Caenorhabditis elegans: one gene and its partners. The protein of the gene in region 1 interacts with the protein of each later gene in a pairwise test. Each region holds a gene or a part of one and is shown in the gene's direction. Other genes may lie near its edges. The genes, in order: gei-4, rrsr-1, math-14 and lir-2.

Region 1 (6,510 bases):
CTTTCAAGCTTTTCTAAGGCCTGGGTTCTCTATTTTAACAGACCCAAGAGGCCTGATATCATAGCCTCTGAATACGGTAGAAGCCAAGTTCTGCTCCTCTTCCTCTCCTTATACTATCTCCTGTGCTTCTTCTCCTTCTTCTTTCCTCACTGAGAGTGCCTGAGAGTTATTGTCGGCCGTCATTCGCCTCTCTTGTTTTCGAGTCTGCCGCACCCTCCGATCCATCTCTCCCCATCTTTCTCTCCGCATCACGTTACCCATTCATTCGGCACTCCTCCACGCACTCTCCACAATCGATACGCTGTCGTCACGGCCTCTAAGCACACACACTCCACGACGGGCGCGCTCTCTCGTGCCGGGTGTCTCGTGATCTCCGCCACTCGGCACAGTGTCTAGTGATGTTTGGACTCTCCGCAGCGCGCATTGTGTATGCGAGTGTGCAACGCGTCTCCGCGTCGCGGTCGGCCTCCCCTCGTACACAATGCCCCGCCCGTCTCCAATCTCTCCTCCCTCTCGTCCTATGCGCCCCAAATCGTCCTCTTCTTTTGTGTATATGTTTCGTTTTCTCTTAGTCTTCTTCCTCTTCTACTACTACTACTTTTTGCCCCCCGTCTTGTTCCCTTCATCTCCCTACACTTCTTCTTCTTCTTACCATCCCCAACCGCATCCATCCGCCATCACACACTCTTTTCCGCTGATTTTGGGAGCGCAGAGACAGAAGGCAGGCAGGCAACAAAATAGTGTGGTTAACAGTGATGATGGGAAGAGCATGGGCGGTTTAGGCGCGAAGAGGACAAATTTGAATTCTAAAAATCGACTTGAAACGGAGAGGTACAGGTTGGATTTGATGCCTTGGCCGTGAAATGGGAAAATTCGGAGGGATTTTCAGAGAACCCACAGCGATAGGAATTGGAAGACGGTATTAGAACCATTACATTAGGCTTTAGGCTCAGGTACTTGGATACGGGGCCCTCGTGGTGTCAGGCTGTCCTACTATGGTTTGATCTACAAAAAAATGCGGAAATTTTTGGCCCATAAAAATGTGACGTCAGCAAGTTCTTAACCATGCAAAATCAGTTGAGAACTCTGCGCCTCAACTCCGGCATTTTTTGTAGATCTACGCAGATCAAACCGAAATGAGACACTCTGAGACTTTTTCGTGGGGACCGCGGATATAAAAGGTCGGCCACCAAAATTCATTGCTCTTCTAGAATGCTAACTCTGCCTCTGGAACCCAAAATACCTCTGGATTTGCTGAAACTAGCTTAAAAGTGGATCAGCAGGACCTTTTCCGCAGGATTTAGAGGGACTGACCGAGTTTTCTCTTTCACGGCCACCATGTTCAAGCAGTGCACCTGGGCACCTGTGCACACAGCTCCAACACGAAAAGAAACTAAGATTTTTGCATTTTCAGTAAAATTCAGAAAATTCCACGTGGATCAGTGAAAATTTGGCGCAATTCCGTCGAAATTAGTACATGCTGGGACTATAATAAGAATTTTTTAAGCTTTTGCAGTGAGATACGTTGTTTTCAATTTTATTTTTCAATTTTTCAATCAAAATTCATGTATTCTTCTTTTGTTCCAGTCATTTTAAGCAGTGTTTTCATTATTCTAGTCTTATGAAATTCGAAAAATTGAGAAGGAGGCAAGTGCGCTCCAGTGACACTCCGGCAAATTTGAATTCGAAACTTATCTGCTTCTCTATTTTTCTCACTTTCTCCATTTAATTTCTTATTTTTCTTTGGTTTTCCTGGTTTTCCTTGGTTTTTCTTCAAAAAATTAATTTTTCAAGTGATTAAAATTGTTTCCAGCACAATTATATCCTTATTAAATCGCAATTCTCATCGGAAACTAGCTTAAAAACCTAAAATTCCAATTTTTTCAGGCTCGGAAACACAAAAAATAATAAAAAATGCAGCAGAATATACAATACACATACAGTTCGGATCCCCGCTCGGGCGGTAATCAAAATCAGCAGCTACACGGAATATCGCAATTTCAACAGAACTCCTATCAGCCGACGACGTATTCAAATTCAAATGCGAACAATTTTCATTCCTCTAATTCCGCAACTTTTATACCTAATTCAGTGACGGTAGGGGATTTTCAGGAAATCGAGTGAAAATGTTCAATTTTATTTAATTTCAGCAAACACCTCAGCGGCGGATGGGAGAAGAGAAGAGTTTAGTTAATATGCTTGACGCTTATTTTATCGACAGTACGACACCTTCAACATCAACGTCGTGGAATAATCAGCAGCCAGTTCAGGTAAAAATCGTAAAAATCGTGCGATTTGGCTTAAAAAAATGGCGGAAATCTCGAAAAATCTCGATTTTCCTCATTTTTTACCGTAAATTCTATCGTAATTGTGGTTGTGTTTGTGAATCGTGATTTATTTTATAGATGTCTTCAATACAACAATCAGTTGGATCATACAATCAACAAATACCTCAGTTGAAAGTAGGAGATGTGGTAAATTCGTTGTTTTTTCTTTGTTTTTTTTTGGGGAGAATTTCGTGTTATTCAGTGATTTTTTCAAGGAATTTTGAATTTTGCAGCTCGAAATCCGCGTGGATTTTCGCATTTGAGCGGATTTTTCAAAAAATTTGCTCAAAAAGTCGATAAGTTACTGGAACTTGCTTAGTTTTGCAACTATGGTCTGCTAAATAATTAGCAGACCAAAGGTGGGTATGCTAAATATTTAGCAGGCCCAAGTTGGGTATGCTAAATATTTAGCAGACCCAAGATGCGAAATCGAGCAGAATTTGTCCATTTCTCGAGTTTTAATGCGAATTTTAAGTTTCAACACACTGAAAACACGAATTGAATGAAATCACGCAGCGAACTCACCGAGCACACCTCAGAAACATTTCAGGACCTACAAGTAGAAGGAATGAATGTTAAACTCTCCTCGTCACCCGACAAAGGCGAGAAGGATCGAGTAAAGAAGGCGCGACAGGCAGAAGCCGCCCGAATGCGTTATCACCGACTATCAAACGAAGAGAAACGAGAGTTAAACCTGAAAAGAACGTTGGCGCAGAAGCGAAAACGGCAACGTGAGAAGGAGATGGAGGAGCTCGAATCGATTTTGCGGGAGACAAATGACATTCAAGAGGATCCGGACATCACCGAACAGCTCAGAGAGAAGAGAATGCGGGCCAAGTGGGCAGAGGCCGCCCGTACACGTTACGCTAGAATGACGCCGGAAGAGCGCCGGGCGCACAATACGCGGAGACGTATGCGGCAGATGCAGAACGCGATGAGCGCGATTAAGGTGAATATAGAACATTGAATTCTAGCAGAAAATCTGGAAAATTAGCGGAGAAGAGGAAAATTTAATTGGGTGAAAATCTATTTTTGGTAAAATCTCTCCTCCCTAACACACAAAATTTGTAATTTTTCCGCTGCTACCGTGACGTAACATTCCAGAAATCGGAGTTTCAGGCATGTGGAATGGCTACAGGAGATCCACAGAAGGACGACGAGGCTGTCCGGTTGCACATCAAGACGCAGAATGCGAAAAAAGCGGAGGCGGCTCGTCAACGGTAAGGAAGAGATTCGGGGGAATCAGAATAGCTTGGGTCTGCTAAATATTTACCATACCAAACTTGGGTCTGCTAAATATTCAGAATGGGTCTGCTAAATATTTAGCATACCCAACTTTGGTCTGCTAAATATTTATTTGGGTCTGCTAAATATTTAGCATACCCATCTTTGGTCTGCTAAATATTTAGCAGACCCAACAATTGCGAAATTCACCTGAGTTTCCACACATTTTCGATCAAAAAACCTCCAAATTTCCAGATACCATCGAATGAACGATGACGAGAAGCGCGTCTACAATCAACGAAGGACAGAAGCGTTCCGCCGCCGTCGTATGGAAGAAGAGATGCTGCTCGCCATGCCTATAGGCCGTATCAACGGAGAAGCACTGGATCGTGCTCAGCAGATTGTGGTCCGAAACGCGAAACGAGCCGAAGCGGCACGTCTTCGCTACCAGCGAATGACGCCTGATCAGAGAAAGGTGAATATATTTTTGCTACAACTAATCAATCACCAACGAGAGACAGAGAGGGTCTTGCGATGACTTTTAGTTATTTTTGAGCACGAAAAATTTGAAAATTTGCGCTAGCGAATCCAAAAAAAAACCCCGGGTTTCTTCCCCAACTCTCCGAGATCTCAGACTCCTAAATTTTGTTGTAGGTCGCGAAACAAGAACCGAAAGAAGAGTCTTGGCCCTCTCATGAGCAATCTGACACGCAAATCGACCATGATCTCGATCTCGGAGACGTTAGTGAAACCTTTTTTCTTTTATTTTTCTTCTTCTTTTTTTTGAATTTTGGATACTGAAATTGAGAATGAGAATGCTTGTTGTGTGTAGGCTTTGCGCATGTGTGTTTTCGAAAAACAAAATTTCAAAAAAAAAAAAAACATTTTAATTTTTAATTTTTCAGTCGTACAATCAAAAACGCTACACTCCAAAGCGTCGTCGCAACGAGATGGACGACATGATCAGCGCCGGACAGATGGCCGTCGGATCCTCTGGAACCATCACAATGGGCACCGGCACCCCCGCCAAAAAGGACGATATGGACGCTCTCTCCTCGTTGGAACGTGACGTCGTCAAGCGCACACAGCACGCTCAGCAGATCCTTCTCCGACAACGCGCGAATCAGTCGTCGGGAACGCCACGCTCGGTTACACCACCGCCACAGGCCTATATAATCTCGAATGGTCAGCAACAGCACCAACAGTTGGTTGGAAATCAGGGAAACAATGGGATTGGACAGCACCAGGTGCTCCATCAAGGACACATGCAACAGCAGCAGATTCAGGTGTCACACCAGGTGAATATCGATGAAAACTAGGAAAAAATGAGTTTTTGAGCGGAATTTTGCTATAAAACTCGAGGTTGGGTATGCTAACTATTTAGCAGACCCAAAGTTGGTATGCTAAATATTTAGCAGGCCCGAAGTTGGTATGCTAAATATTTAGCAGACCCAAAGTGGGTATGCTAAATATTTAGCAGACCCAAAGTGGGTATGCTAAATATTTAGCAGACCCAAAGTGGGTATGCTAAATATTTAGCAGACCCAAAGTTGGTCTGCTAAATATTTAGCAGACCCAAAGTTGGTATGCTAAATATTTAGCAGACCCAAATTTCAAAAAAAAAATTGATTTTTACTCAAATCTCCCCAATTCTAGAATCATCCAACTAATCAAACTTTAGGATTTTCAGCAGTCGTCCCAATCGATTCCTCAGAACATCTACACTTCTGGCATGATTATCCAAAATCAGGGACAACAGCAACAAGGCCAGCAGCAGCAGCAGGGACAGTCTCAACAAATATTGAACAATCCTTATAGAACCTAATAATATAATAATTCCTGTTCTTTTTTTTTCAAATCTTCTCTTTCTGTTCTTTTTTCTTCTTCTTTGTCCATTGTTTTTCTTTCCTCTGAAAATTGCATCTGTATTATTTACTGAAAATCGCGTAGTTTTTTATCTTTTTTTAATCAAAAAATTCAACAAAAAAAACCACTAAAAATTGAAAAAAGTTTGCAAAAAAAGCCCCAAAAAATAAGTTTTCTTCCTCTTAATTGTTAATTTTTTAACGTTTTATTCAACTTTCCATTTCTAATTTTCACTGTGACCCAATTTTTTGTTTCATTTTTCTGAAACCCCCATTACCAATAATTTCCAGATATTCTCATTCTCAAGAACCTCCTCTCAAATATCCGAACAAACCCTGCGCTACCGTGAAATCTGCCTTAAACCCACCCCCATCTAGAACTACCTGAAAATCCATGTTATTTTTACATTATCCTTTTTTTCCCCCATTTCTTGTTTTAAAGAAAATATTCACCCTGCGTCTCGAAATTCTTATACTCTATCCCCATCCCTCTCCCACACAAAATCCTCTCCAAATTTCCAAATATTTGGTAATCTGAAAATTTTCGTCGAATTTGAATATTGACGATTAATTAGAATAAAAATTGAAGTTTATTCCTGAGTTTCCGATTTGAAAATTCCTTTTTTTAGCGTGTTTTTTTCAGCGTTTATCTACTTTCTTTTACAAAAATTGTAATAGAAAAAAATCGATATTTGCCACGTGGCAAGCCAAATTGGGTCTGCTAAATATTTAGCAGACCCAAGAAAAATTATTTAGCAGACCAAAGTTGGGTCTGCTAAATATTTGGCAACCAATTTTCTCCAGAAATCCAATTAAAAAGCTCAATAAACCATGAAAAGAGCATTCAGTTGTAAATATTTAATACGAAATTCTATTTCTTGCGGAAAATAATAATTTTCTTGCTGTTCGCACTGGGAAGAGAGGAAATCCCTCAATTTTCCATCCCGATAATTGCACCTTACACTCGGGGTCTCTCGAGAGTTTATAATTAGCTTTTATTTTCAGAAAATACGTATTTTGTTTATCAAATACCCCGAAAATATGAAAATTCTCATGACAACTGGGGAAAATCCATAAAAAAGTGGCAGTGGGCA
Region 2 (3,309 bases), on another chromosome or scaffold:
AAATTGAAATGTTTCGGTGTTTGAGTAGGAACAATTAAAACGTAATATAAAAATCGTAGAAAGAACATTTTTTGGTCGAATTCCAAAACTATGATGAGCTTTCACCACTTTTCAACTCAAAAAGTTAAATTTTTTTGAATAGTTGTACGCTTCTTTTTATCTTTTTAGAACAAATTTCAAAACAATTTCCCAACGATACCCCACCTTGAAGATCATTCACACAGTAAGAAATATGCCAACAATTACCATTTTCCCACGTGTTCTCTCTCTCTCGAGATCTCTCCTGACTTCAAAGCCATACCAATTTCCGGTAATTCAGTGTCCATATTCCTATGTCATCTGTCATTTCAATCTCGGCTCATCAACATCATAATACAATGACCTTGTAGTTGAGGATCTCCGTTCGGCTTCCGAAACAAAAGGCAGATGTATGGTAAGTAGTTGGGTGTTACATACTCTCTCCAAAGTGTTGTTATTGATGTTACACCCTTTCTTCTCAGTAATTCATCAAAACTCTTTTCCTCGCTAATTTGTTTGATGATTTATGAGGGAAGCGGGGTGTGCAAGTTTCGCGCATTTCGGCTTTCAACACAGAAAAATCACTAATTCGTTGATTTATTTTTATGTGAACTTTTGTCGTAACAAGTATCAGGCGGCATCGTTTTTGTGTTGAAAGTTACCGTAAGATTCAAGGGTTTCATTTCGATGTATCCTAAATCTGGGACAATAGAATTTTATGGACCACCCGGTTAGGAGTAAACAATACCCAATAAAATTTAATAATTGAGCTGCCTTCTGCGGTGGAATGTATGCTCCATGATGACATTTGTATCTTTGAGAAATATGTTAGGGATCCAAATCATCAAAATTACTAACTATGTATATGGTGTATTGTTTCTATATTTCTCATTGGAAATTTGAGCTGGAACAGAGAATTTTCTTCATTTTTATTTATAAAGGGCGCTGGATAATTACCGAAAAAGGGAAATTTTTGAGCCTCAAGCATTTTAACCTATGAAAGATAGTTTCATAAGAGTTTTCAGATTAATCGAGGTTCTTGAAATCATTTAATCAGGAAAATACCCACATTACTCACAGAGATCCGCTTTCAGACGTTATGTTCTCTCTGATGGTCTGATTCTACTAATTTTAAATGTAATTTATTTTTTAATTAAAAGCTTGTAGTGGTTTGTTTTACTTTACATAATGTGCTCACATTTTCTTCGTATTTTGTGAGAGATGACGAAAACTACAATAAAAGAAAAATGCGTGCGGTGGCGTTGCAAAAACCACGCGCACCACTTGCAATAGAAGCCACGCCCTTATTTCCTTTGTTTTATTTTTCGTTTTCAGCTCTTTCAGTTCTCTTTTCAAATGATTTACCTGTTAAAATTAGTCAGAAAAATTAGATTTCGGTTAAAGTTTTGATTTTCTTTATAACAGTTATACGAAAATTGGTGCCGATTGCTGTTTAAGCTTCAGTTCTGAAAAGCTGTTTCTATAATACATTCGCACTGTCTTTCCCGTTCAGTTGCAGCGTTTTTCTACTTTCAGTAGTTTCAGTTAATACTTTAATGTTACAGAGAAATGGCTGACAAATCGACGGAGGTTGAAAAGGCCATTGACCCAATCATTGACTTGGGTAACCTGCTGTTTATTGATCGAGAGCCAATCCAAGGAGACGCAAGGTATATTATAGAATTTCGTTATTAATTAAACCAGCAAATTTCATAATTTTTCAGTGAAGGACTCGAGGAACGTGCTAGGAAGAACACACAACTCCTTTTCAACAACATCTGGCAGCTGGAGCAAAAAAGAGTAGAAGAGGCTATTATTGTTACTCTCCCTCCCGCCACTTACCGTCTTCCTCGTGAGAAACGATTGCCAGAGAAAAAAGAGCCGACGAAATGGGAGAAATATGCTGCTGAAAAGGGAATTGAGAAGAGAAAGAAGGATAAGAAGGTGTTCGATGAAGCGACAAAGGAATGGAAACCGACCTATGGATACAGACGTGGAAATGATGATACCAAGGATTGGCTGATCGAAATTCCTGACAACGCAGAAGATCCGAACAAGGATTTCTTTGCTGAGAGACGCGAAAAGAAGAAGGAGAGAGTTGCAAAGAACGATATGCAGAGAATGAAGAATCTTGCTCGTCAGATGAAGACAACAGTCAAGAGCGGTCCATCGACAGAAAAGATGATCGGAGTAGGAGTCGATGCCAAGGAAAAATCAAAGCAACAAGTTCGTTTCGCAGTGGATCGTGCAAAGCTTGCCACAGCTTCCGCTGGAAAGTTCCAGGAAGGATTGAAGGGAGAGAAGGCCAACGTGAAAACTGGCAAGAAGAGAAAGTTCGAAGCCAACGAAGCTCCAGTTTCTGGCGAGAAAGAACGTGCTCTCCAGATTCTTCAACGAATGAAGTCAAAGAAAGCAAAGATTGTTGAAGAAAAGGCTGCTGCAGTTGCTGGACCTTTGAGAGAGTGAGTAGTGAGAAAATTAGGCCTTTATCGTTATTCAATTCAATTAATTTCAGGAAGAAGGAAAAATCGGAGAGGAAAGGTGCTAAAGATCAAACAAGACAGAAGAGTCAGATTCACAGACAACAGTGGTTCAAAAACAAGGTCGACGGCAAGAAGAAGGGTACTGGTGGTGCTGGAAAGAAGGGAGCCAACAAGGCCAAAGCAAGAAAGGGATAATCTATGTTCTTGTTTTTTATTCAAATTTGTTGATTTTGATTCGTTTATTTTTTTTGTTACTTTCTTTTTTATTCATCAAATTTTAACATTCAATAAATAAATGTTCTGTTAAGTAGAAAATGTTACTTTTCTTCATGAAATGATGTTTTAGTTCTCGATTGTGAATTTACCTGGGATAGGTTATTTTATTAAATTTGTTCAGAGTTTTATATAATCCCAATTATTTTTCTCTGGCATGTTTTTTTTTTCTCTGAATGTAAGAAAGCCAACATTGATTCGCGATTTTCAAATCTATGAAATTAATAGGCGGAGTTTTCTTTGCCAGATCCAGCAACTCGGCCATCTTTCAAACCAAGATAAGTGATTTTAGATCATTTAACAATTTGCCTGTCAAGACTTAATATTTTCTCAACTAGTAAAGTGCTGTTCCCATTTACTCAGCAATCTGTTTCTTCGAAAGTCACAAATCGGTAGTGTCTCAATTTCCAAGCGTGCTCCATCGCACTCCCTTTAAATTTTGTCATCTTTTCGGCGTTCTCATCATTTTTCAACCTTCAACAATATATTTTAGTCGAAACTTCATTAATTCAGCTTAAAATGGCTTTGAACTTCC
Region 3 (3,827 bases), on another chromosome or scaffold:
TCAAAATGGACAGAGCTTGAATCTCACTAGCACATCAATTTTCGAAGAGCCTTCTGGTTACGGCTATGGTAAACTCATAAGATGGGATGATATGCTAGAGAAGTATATGGTGAACGACAGTATCATTATTGAAGCTCGTGTTAAGATAACCAAAACGATTGGATGTGAAGATGAAACAAGTATTGATGATTTGGATGATGAATTCTCTGACTGTGTGATCAATGTTGGAGGGAAAAACTATTCTGTAAAAAGACAATAGACTGCATTTTTCATTCTAATTCATTTTTATCACTGTGATATGAAACTTCTCTATTTTCAACCTAAAATGAACGTTAGTTTTGCACTCTCTACATAAATCAATTAAACCTTACCTATCTTGAGCAATGGTTGAATGTAAAGAAATTGAAAAAAAAAGAGAAAAAGCAGAACCTAAATTTGGTCACACATTTCTTGTTTTCCCATTTGGAACCAAAAATATGTATTCATAATGTTTAATATATTTATCTCAAACATGTCACAGTTAATAAAAAGGCTCATACAGTTGACGGAATTCCTGGGATTGCCTTTCTAACTGCAGCTCCGACTTCTTCAACTATTCCTGGAATTCTAGCTGGTTCATCGCCCACGACTTTCCGAATTGCCGGAATTGCTTTTCTTACTCCTGCTCCTACTTCTTCAAACATTCCTGAATCATCCGTCTCTCCTGGAATTGTTCCTCCAAACCCTCCAATAACTCCCGGAATTGGTGGGAAATCGATATCTGAAAAAAAACATTTGGAGAAAGGCCTAAAATGGGAAAACTTACAGCAGCTGGAGCACATGCGATGAGGACAAGAATGTAGATGATGAAGTTCATGTTGAATGAATTGTGAATTTATCCCTGTTACAGGAGCCTGTTTTTATATGGAGCACTGACAATAGAGCTGTGTCTAATAAAGACATGTTATTCAGGATTTTCAGACAATCCCATTGTATTATCTGTTTTTGAAAGCTGAGTCGGTGAAAATTTTTATAAATTTCAGTGCTGAAATTTTCCGTTTTTATAAATATTGTGAAAATCAACTGTAATGTTAACCATGGAATATTGACTCGTTCTTCCATGTCGGTGGGGTAGTCCTCTCTATCCACAAATCTTAGGATATTTTTAACAGTTTCATAGTTTGGTCAATTTTTTCAAAAGAAAGTTGATATCAAGATATTATAGAAAAAATTGTTGAAATAAGCCATTCAAACTGTAATGAATAGACATTTTAAACGTAGCAACACTATTAGGAAACGACTATAAGTATACTCTTATCAGTGATTTTTTATAAAGGTTTTGAAGGTATGAGGAATTTTTTGTAATTTTTGAGTTCAGGAATCGGCGTCAGCCGGTTTTCTTGGAGTGAAAAATCTTAATGGAACAAGTAATTCTGAAAATTTCCTAACAGATTCCTCATTTTTTCTCCATCAAACTGGCATATTTGCACAATCTAAGAAAGAGTTTTAAATTATAAAACAACTACATTTATAGCGCCATACTGATTTTCTGAAAGTGTTTTTTCATTTGTTTGAAAATTATTTGTTCCAAAAATTATATGTTTTAGTTCTGAACTTTCATGCAACTAAACAAAATTTCTCATTGTATTTTGCAAAATTGACATTTTTACATTAAACTGTCAATTGCACCATATTAGGAATTTTTTTTTCATTGATAAGAACTCATTTTTAAATCGTCCCCTTGCATATGTTTCTTCAGACCTATCGAATTGCTCCGTCTCCTTTTTTTTTTGCTCTCTTTGAGTATTGATTTTTATAATTAAATTTGTTTTGTTATTTTCACATGTGTGTATTTTTTTTCATATTACAGAGAACGTACGTTCATACGTTTACTGTAATATGAAAAAGTTTTCAGAACAATGTCTAAATTGTGCAAAGAGTTCAGCTTAAGCGCGACTGTCAAAAATATTTCACGATTTGTGGATGAAGAGATATACTACACTGACACAGAAGAACGATTCAATATTCCATGGTTTTGTTTGATAAACGTTTTAAGAAATAATGGTGAACGTGCTTTAGGAGAATGTGCATCGCTAAGTGTGACGATGAATTTAGTCTTGGATTGAAATGTGAAAAAAACAATTGGGACAACAGAGAATGGTCGATTGAAACTGATTGGACGATGAAATTAGTATCACACAACGGGAAAAGTTTGATGGAAAGCAAAAAGTTCACTTTCAATAATTCAAATATATTCGATGGTGGTCTGAACACTAGTTGGGATTTATTGGAAAGTGATTATGTAGTTGATGATAGTGTTGTAGTTGAAGCTCATGTCAAAATAATTAAAATAACTGGTGAGTTCGACTTTCATTTTTTACGAAAAAACTTGGTTACTTGCTCTGAAGCTTGAAAAAATGTTTTCAAAATTTTAGACTGGTGAGTGTCTATGACCTTTGGAATACAAGTATTTTTTAGTAGCACTATAAGTATTTATCATATATTAAGAAAGACGCAGACATATTTTTAGACTGTAAATGATTATTATATTTCTGTCTATAACACTTTTTACAGACTTACCATGCGACGAAGACGAGGATTCAAAAACGTTTCTTTTAAGCAGTACTGTTAGAAATATTTCAAGCATTGAAGAAGGAGACGACTATTACACTGAAACAACGATACGTCACAATATTCCATGGTTTTTTATTGAATAATATGTACATTAGTTCAAACTATATTCAATTTAAGGAGAATGCAAATTAAAAGAGATGATGGATTTTTTGGATTATTTTTGAGATGTGAAAAAGAGGATTGTGAGGATCCTGGAAAATCTTGGAGTATCGAATTAGATTATGAACTAAGATTGGTGTCTTTGAATGGACAGAGCTTGACTTTTAGTGATTCAGACTTGTTTATTTATCCATCGGGTGAAGGTTTTCAAAAATTCATGAGATGGGATGACATGGAAGAGAAGTATATGGTGAATGGTAGTATCATTATTGAAGCTCGTGGAAAAATCACTAGTCTTGAAGAAAGTGACGACGAATCCAGCAGTGAGAATGAAGAAGACGATTCGAGCGAATCCCATTCAGAAAATGATTCGAGTAGTGATAATTTAGAAGATGAATTCTCTGAGTGTGTGATCAATGTCGGAGGGCAAAATTACACTGTGAAGAAACAATAAATTATCAATTTTCATTAAATTGCTTCCGTCGACTATTACTGTCTGTGCTCTTTTCTAAGTATCAATTTTCCAATATCATTATTCGATGGAAATAAAGATTTTTATAAGAGTTGAAAAAGGGAAATTAGCGTTGAAATCAATATGAACCTACGTATAGCACTAAATAATGAGCACTTTTCACATGACATGAACAATCTAACTATAAGGAAGAACTTCTACCGATAAAGAACTATACGCTCGATTTTCAATTTCCTCTCAGAGGCTTTCTATGACTGATTGTGAGGAGGTTTCCTGTTATAATTAAAGCGGTTTTGAACAATTTTCTAGTACTTGAGCTTCACCCATCATTCACTTTTCATTCGACTTGGCTCCAAGAAATTTTTTTTTTCCATGAAAAGTTATATTGCTACTTTCAATTTCAACTTCCTTATTGGTACACTTGTTCACTGATAAGATGCATGTTCTGTGAGTCTTCTTTGGTGTCAATTTTTCTGCCCTGCACATTCAGCTTATACTCTGCTCTCTGTCAATACTATCATGACTGTGGTTCTGGATTCTATTAAAAAATTTCAGAACAATCTTAGATGTTGAATCCTTGTATTAAATATTGCATTGTAAACATAATTCCTCACTATTTTTTGCAAAATTGGCATTTTTACAT
Region 4 (6,887 bases), on another chromosome or scaffold:
TTCACGGAATGGTATCACGCAAGGAGGAAATTCGTACTTTCCCAGCGAAAAACACGAAAGTGTTCAACTTTGAAATAACCGATTCAAACGGAGATACAATCAGATGTACCGCATTCAACGAGGTTGCTGAGTCCTTGTACACCACAATCACCGAGAATCTTGTTAGTATTATTTTAATCGGATTATGCATAATAATTAATTTAATATTTTCAGTCTTATTATTTGTCTGGTGGATCAGTCAAACAAGCAAATAAGAAGTTCAACAATACTGGACACGACTACGAGATCACACTTCGCAGCGATTCTATCGTTAGTAAATTTAAAGCGATTCATCATAGCTAAAATATTAAATTTTCAGATTGAAGCTGGAGGTGAATTGCTTGCTGCTCCAAAGCTCATACTCAAACGAGTGAAGCTAGGTGAAATCGCTGGATATGCTGGACAACTGATTGACGTTCTCGTCGTGGTTGAAAAGATGGATCCAGAGGCTACCGAATTCACTTCAAAGGCTGGAAAATCTCTGATCAAGCGAGAAATGGAGTTGATTGACGAGTCTGGAGCACTTGTTCGATTGACACTTTGGGGAGACGAAGCAACAAAAGCACTTGTTGATGACTATGTTCAAAAAGTAATCGCATTCAAAGGTGTTATTCCAAGAGAGTTTAATGGAGGATTCTCTTTGGGAACTGGGTCAGCAACTCGTATTATTTCGGTGCCAGAAATCGCTGGAGTGTCTGAACTCTATGATTGGTACGCAAACGTGAAACCAACCACTGAAGTTAAGATGATGAGCCAAGCTGCTGGAGGATCCAATGAAGCTCCACGTACTATTGCAGGACTCCAAGAAATGCAATTTGGAAAGGATTCCGACAAGGGAGATTACGCAACTGTCAAAGCAATGATTACCAGAGTAAATCCTACGAATGCTCTTTATAGAGGATGCGCTTCAGAGGGTTGCCAAAAGAAACTTGTGGGAGAAAATGGTGACTACAGATGCGAAAAGTGCAATAAGAACATGAACAAGTTCAAGTGGCTGTACATGATGCAGTTTGAACTTTCGGACGAAACCGGACAGGTCTATGTCACAGCTTTCGGAGATAGTGCTGCGAAGATTGTTGGAAAATCAGCTGCGGAGCTTGGAGAATTGCACGATGAAAGCCCAGATGAGTACAACGCTATTTTCGAACGCCTTCAGTTTGTTCCAAAGATGTGGAGACTTCGTTGCAAGATGGATTCGTACAATGTAGCTTTATTTCTTGAAGATCCGTTATGATTGTTTTCTTTATAGGAAGAAGTTCGTCAGAAGATGACTGTCTATGGTGTGGATGATGTCAATCAGGACAAGTACATCGAAAATCTGAAGCAAATGATCGAGCAGATGCAACAAATGAGTGACTACTAAATGTTCTGTTTTTTATTACATCGTGCCGATCTCGACTGTTTCATTTAAATCTAAAAAAACCTAAATATTATTAAAACCTTTTTTGAGCCTAAAGTTATCACATGTCTCACATCCACAATCGCTGATTTTGTACAATGTTTTTCATCTCATTTACTAGCGAATAAACTATACGATGTGAGCCTATCTTTGAGTGCCAGGTGACCTCGAGATGTGTTCTGAAGTGACAGCATTGGGTCGTTGCAGCGTCCTTGAGAGCGGGTGACTGCCCGACAACAAATGGCCTTGGGTTGCCACATTTATCCTACGTCTCTCTGCCCACGACCACATTTTCCATTGCTAACCCGCAGGTTCGTGGGCAGCCAGCGAGCTCTTTGAGCTCTCTTCGTCTATTTCTCTCTAACGCTGTCTTTTTTTTTGTCTTATTTTCCATGAAAGACATTGGCGGATTAGTGGAAAAGACTAGTGACTTTCATTTACAGAAACGTCTTTTATCACCTGTTTTGATTTTCCAAAAAAATAAATTCCGTAATGATTTTATTATGTTTCCAAACAGTTGCAATTTGAACACTCCTTTCAAATTGTTCGTCCAAACTAAGCCGTGCTGAAAGAAAATTTCCGTCTTATATTTTGAGTGTAGCTTTTCTGTTGCAGTTGTTAAGATTTGTCGATGCAATTTAGGGTTATGCAGCTGACCTTATGGAGTGTCTGGGAGAGCACACACAAATGCGTTCCCAACAGAAGGTGTTCTCCGTGTCTATTCCCAATAAAGGTCATCTCCATATGCTCATCCCGTTTCTTTTCACCTAATACGTTTATTCGCAACCTTTTCTAGTTATCTTCAAAAAAAAAAGGTTCACGAATTGTTTTCCTCAATTTAGAGTTTAGTGGTGTCACAGTATCCCATCTCGGTTTTTTATTTGAAAATTGTGGGAATTTAATTCGAATTTGCTACCCAGGAAAAATGTCTGGAAATTCCCGGATTAAGCTGGAATGGGACACTCTGACACCACCCGTCTCCCATTTTATTTTCAATTTCTAAAAGTAAAATAGCATTTTCAGATCAGTGACAGTCATGTTGGCAGCTAATGGCCCCCGAACTGCGAAAATCAGCCGAGATGTAAGTTTGGTTTGAATTAGCGCCAAGTGCAATATTCCAATGGAGCACAGTTGTTGATGGTCACTGTACCTTTGAAACGGCGTTTTGCGGTTTTCGAAACTCCCCGATGATTGGCGTTGACTATCTTAAACAAAATGAAACAAGATTAATAAATTTATGTGTCTTTTGTATTCTTTAAACGTTTTTCGTCTTTAAAAATTAAGGAGTTGTCAGGTTTTTGAACGCAGCTCCGCCTATTTTTTCAAAATCACATTCTCGAGTTTCGAAAAACATGTGAGATCTCTTTTTTTGACTTTTCAATTTTATTTTGGGTCAGATTTTTTTGATTTTCACTTCTCATGCGCCATTTTTCGACCTTTTCATTAATATTTTTTCAGGTTAGCAACTACATTATCACCTTGGTTCTTGAAAGAAGTGATGATCTCATCAAAAATTCATATCGCCGGTTGACAACTGAAAATGTCGCCAGGAATGAGCATTGGGCTCGAATCGCTGATAAAGTAACTGAAAAATTCGATATTCCAGCTGAAATGGAACGAGTCAAGTCGCATTTTCACAATCGAAAAAAGGTTCTATTGGCGAGAATAAAAGACGAGTTGAAGTATGAAAATTTTTCATTTTTTAAAGGTTTCTGTAATGATCATCTTTTCTTCAGAACTATTCCAAGCTCTAATCAAATGTCCACTGATGAAAAGATGGAAGAACTCGTACGTCGGAGAATTTGTATCGGAGAGTATGATGAACAACTTGCCAGAGTTTGCCTTGACATAGAAGATGAAGAAAAAGGAAGAACGGAACAATTTGGGAATGAACAAATTCAGCAACCGATGACAAATTTGTTCACTGAAACAAGTCATCAATCTCTTTTGTAAGTTTATTTATTCATTTTTGCTCGTTGAAATTAAAATTGTTTTTCAGAAGTCAGTTGCTAACTTCATCGGCGTCACAATCAAAAAGTGAAATACCGATTTCGATGTCATCGCCTATGGAATCAGCTTCAAGCAAAGATTCTGAGCCACAAGCTGTTATCTCTTTACCAACTTTAGGTGCAACTCGCGCCCCTCTTCTCAGTAAACTTTTATCTGATCCTTCAACATCGAAAGAAAATGGATTTTTGTTGCGAAAAGAGCCTGTGAGATTGGCGAGAGCACCATCAGCAATTCGGAATCCGAATGTTAGCAATTATGATAGGAAACGTCGTGCAGCAAGTCCATATGAAAAGAGCAATCGTTTATCGGTGCTACCCAGTCCTCAAAACCAATATCTCTCACATTTGATCGTTGATGTTTCATCTCCTCAAGAACTTAAAAGACTATTATCGGTTTTGGTAAGTACTTTTTATAAAAATTATTATTTTTGGTTCCAATTTTGGAATTGGATCGAAATAAGATTGTCATGCTCTTCATTTCTCTAAAAGTTATTTCTAAATGTTTTCTGTTTTTTCATTCATTTTCGTCTTCATTCAGTGACATCTTCTTTGAAGAATAAAAATTTAGTTGGTAGCACCCTTCAATTCACGCTCACAATCGCCGAAACATTGCGTGAAATTAGAGTTTCCGACTGTGAGCGCAGGCAGAGAAATAGTGAGCGAAGAGACATTGGAGAAGTAACAGGGTGAAGAGCGGTGCGCGAGCGTGTGCGCGTTGCGTGTGTGTGTTGAGTGTAGCTTTTTGTGAGCTTTTCGCTTGAAATTATTTGATTCTAACTATTATAAGCTAAATCAGGTAGCAAATGAAGGCAGAATAAGTTTCATGTTAGTTCAAAACGAAATTTTAAAAAAATTTATAATTTTCAGATTGATCATGGATTCTCTCGATTTCAGCACATCGGAAGTTCGGATATGGTGGCATCGTCTATCAGAACTGGTCAGTGTAAAAAACTTCCCAAATTGTCTTTAAAAAGCGAATTCGTCACAATCAAAAAAGTTTCCGTTTTTTTTTGTTGATTCTCAGTATTTTTCAGATAAAACTGAAAATAAAACATCGCAAAATCGAGAAAAATGAAAGAAATGTCCGAAAAAAAGTCGAGAAAACTATTGTTTTATCCAAAATATGTTGATTTCGATGAGAAAAATAAGAAACTTCTTTTAAAAAATAAAAAAAATCGGAAATTATGAACAATTCTTTATTTTTTAAAAGAAAAATTTAGGTTTTTTTAACAACGAAAATTGAAAAATCGATAAATCAATATATTCTTTTTCGGATTTTTTTCGAATTTCGGAAAATCGATTAAAAAACGAAACAAAAACGAGAAAATTAGATTCACTAAAAAAAGAAGAAATTTCGTTTAAAAAATTTAAAAAATGACCGAAAAACGGAAATTGAGAGATGAAACTAACAATTTTCCTATTTCTCATCAGAAAATTATCACATTAATTTAATTGCAGCTGTTATTTAAATTAAATAAAACATTTTAACCGTTTTTTCAGGTATACCTCGAGCGCCTAGACTCGATACGGTAGAATATTCCAACTATGAACATGAACCTGAAACAGATGAGATTTCTCGAGATGGAACACCATTTTGGTCAACACCAATTCCACCAACTAACAAAGAATTGCCGGTTTCCCCTGTATCACAATTGGACATGACGAATTCAATCAAGAGCAGGTAGAATTAATAAATTAGAATTTTCATTTCATAATTTTTTTTCAATTTCAGAGTGGAACGTGTTGATGTAGAAGTTAAACTGGAACCTTGCAATGACGAAGATGATGAATTTAGTGAAGAAGTTGATGAACAAACTGCTGAATTGGAAGAACAACTAGCAACTGAAGCTATACGGACTGGTTTGGCACTTTTTGGAAAAGTTTCCCCATCTCCAAAACGAATGAAATCATGTGGAAGTTCTGGAAGTGTTTGTGGAGATGTAGTCACAGCGATTTGTGAGATTTGTGGAATTGGAATTCGCCTGAATTCTGGTGGTTCTAAATGGAATTTCTTTGAACACGTAATGATGAAACACTCCACTCATAAACCATTCAAATGTTCCCAATGTCCATATCAAGCTGTACGAAAAGTTCGTGTAAAGCAGCACGGACAATCACAACACAATTCGGAACACGAACCTGTGAATATGATGTGAGTTTTTATTTTGAATTTAAAAAATTTTAAAAAAATTATTTTTTAAAGATTTTAAAAATTGTGCGACAGCTCTTTTTTAGTTGAATCACTAATTCACTGAGATTATTTTTTTTTATCTAATCTCACTCGAAAAGCATGAAAGCCGGTTTCTGTTTTAATTGTATAATTATTTTAAAATGTACGCAATTTGTTTTATAAATTACGAAAATTGCTACTAATGTTGCAGCTGCACCGCAAGATTTTTTTTTTCCATTCTATTTAAAATGGTAATTTTATCCAAATGTGAGGATAAGCCAAAAATTTATTTTTGGCATAAACCCGCAAAAATAGATTTGAAATTTTGAATAAAATGTAAATTTTAGAAATTTTTTTTTCTAGATCATATTTTAGACTAAAAATGTTTCAAAAGAGCATATTTAATTTTTTTTTTAAATTCAATTCTGTCGCAAGATCGCTCCATTAAAAAAAATTAAAAATGTTTGAATAAAATCCAATTCAGACGATGTCCATTTGAAAACTGAATTTAATTCGTTTCATTCCAAAATAAAAAAATCTTACAAAGTCAATTTTTTTCAGAACACCAGAAGTACGAAAAGAATGGCTGGATACAATGGCAAAGTGTTTCCCGAATCATCAATATGGAAAAGAAGCAAAAATTTAATAGTTTCTTTAAATTTTTTTCGTTGATATTTATAATATTTTCTTTTAATTTTAAGTTTTACAACGCAAATTTTGTTCTTACTCGATTTTCAATAAAATCGTCGGTCTTTTTATTATTTGTGGTAATTTCTTTTTTCTTATTTAAATAGTTATTTCTATTTCTGAATATCTTTATCGTGCTCTTGTAATTCCTAATAATATAAATAATATACATAGGTGTCGTCTTCGTACGATTCGAACCCGGCCGGGATGCCGAAATTTGTGGTCATCGAACTGAACGATGATGCAGCAACGATCGATCTTCTCAGTTATTGCGTGAGTTTTTTTATTTATAAAAATTATCTAAAATATTGATTTACTCATTTTCTCTGGTTTGAAACTTTGCATAGAACTTCCAATTGTACCTCTGATTCCTTTTTCGGTCCATATTAACCATTGGTATCCCCTAATTATTCGAATCGACTTCCTAAACAAGGGTGCCGCTGAAAAAATTGTCGGTTTTTTTTGTTGAGAAAATCCAAAAAAATTCACTTTTGAAAAAAAAACGAAAAATTCCGTTTTTTTTTTAAAGAAAAAATCGAAAAAAAATTTGAAAACACTTTTCTTATACGGAATTCAAAATTTA

What was found.
Region 2: the proteins of gei-4 (region 1) and rrsr-1 interact in a two-hybrid assay, tested with the Caenorhabditis elegans proteins (one large-scale study listed by BioGRID).
Region 3: the proteins of gei-4 (region 1) and math-14 interact in a two-hybrid assay, tested with the Caenorhabditis elegans proteins (one large-scale study listed by BioGRID).
Region 4: the proteins of gei-4 (region 1) and lir-2 interact in a two-hybrid assay, tested with the Caenorhabditis elegans proteins (one large-scale study listed by BioGRID).

The regions. Positions count from the first base shown.
Region 1 is NC_003281.10:343,805-350,314, reverse strand, and holds gei-4 (BZIP domain-containing protein), read left to right. Parts: upstream 1-1,887; 5' UTR 1,888-1,914; coding exon 1,915-2,097; intron 2,098-2,150; coding exon 2,151-2,270; intron 2,271-2,405; coding exon 2,406-2,474; coding exon of another isoform or gene 2,475-2,627; intron 2,628-2,877; coding exon 2,878-3,276; intron 3,277-3,431; coding exon of another isoform or gene 3,432-3,446; coding exon 3,447-3,547; intron 3,548-3,806; coding exon 3,807-4,026; intron 4,027-4,205; coding exon 4,206-4,292; intron 4,293-4,456; coding exon 4,457-4,849; intron 4,850-5,232; coding exon of another isoform or gene 5,233-5,241; coding exon 5,242-5,376; 3' UTR 5,377-6,009; downstream 6,010-6,510.
Region 2 is NC_003283.11:14,423,283-14,426,591, reverse strand, and holds rrsr-1 (Ribosome biogenesis regulatory protein homolog), read left to right. Parts: upstream 1-1,583; 5' UTR 1,584-1,587; coding exon 1,588-1,688; intron 1,689-1,742; coding exon 1,743-2,480; intron 2,481-2,533; coding exon 2,534-2,696; 3' UTR 2,697-2,808; downstream 2,809-3,309. Other genes in the region: rpoa-12 (DNA-directed RNA polymerase subunit), read left to right, coding at 3,294-3,309.
Region 3 is NC_003280.10:1,867,525-1,871,351, forward strand, and holds math-14 (MATH domain-containing protein), read left to right. Parts: upstream 1-1,895; 5' UTR 1,896-1,898; coding exon 1,899-2,011; intron 2,012-2,058; coding exon 2,059-2,336; intron 2,337-2,553; coding exon 2,554-2,680; intron 2,681-2,730; coding exon 2,731-3,166; 3' UTR 3,167-3,281; downstream 3,282-3,827. Other genes in the region: math-15 (MATH domain-containing protein), read left to right, coding at 1-259.
Region 4 is NC_003280.10:7,665,532-7,672,418, forward strand, and holds lir-2 (C2H2-type domain-containing protein), read left to right. Parts: upstream 1-1,735; 5' UTR 1,736-2,474; coding exon 2,475-2,519; intron 2,520-2,872; exon of another isoform or gene 2,873-2,896; coding exon 2,897-3,120; intron 3,121-3,174; coding exon 3,175-3,387; intron 3,388-3,437; coding exon 3,438-3,846; intron 3,847-4,314; coding exon 4,315-4,384; intron 4,385-4,947; coding exon 4,948-5,128; intron 5,129-5,179; coding exon 5,180-5,599; intron 5,600-6,178; coding exon 6,179-6,263; 3' UTR 6,264-6,378; downstream 6,379-6,887. Other genes in the region: rpa-1 (putative replication factor A 73 kDa subunit), read left to right, coding at 1-161, 214-309, 359-1,243, 1,289-1,402; lir-1 (LIn-26 Related), read left to right, coding at 6,512-6,577.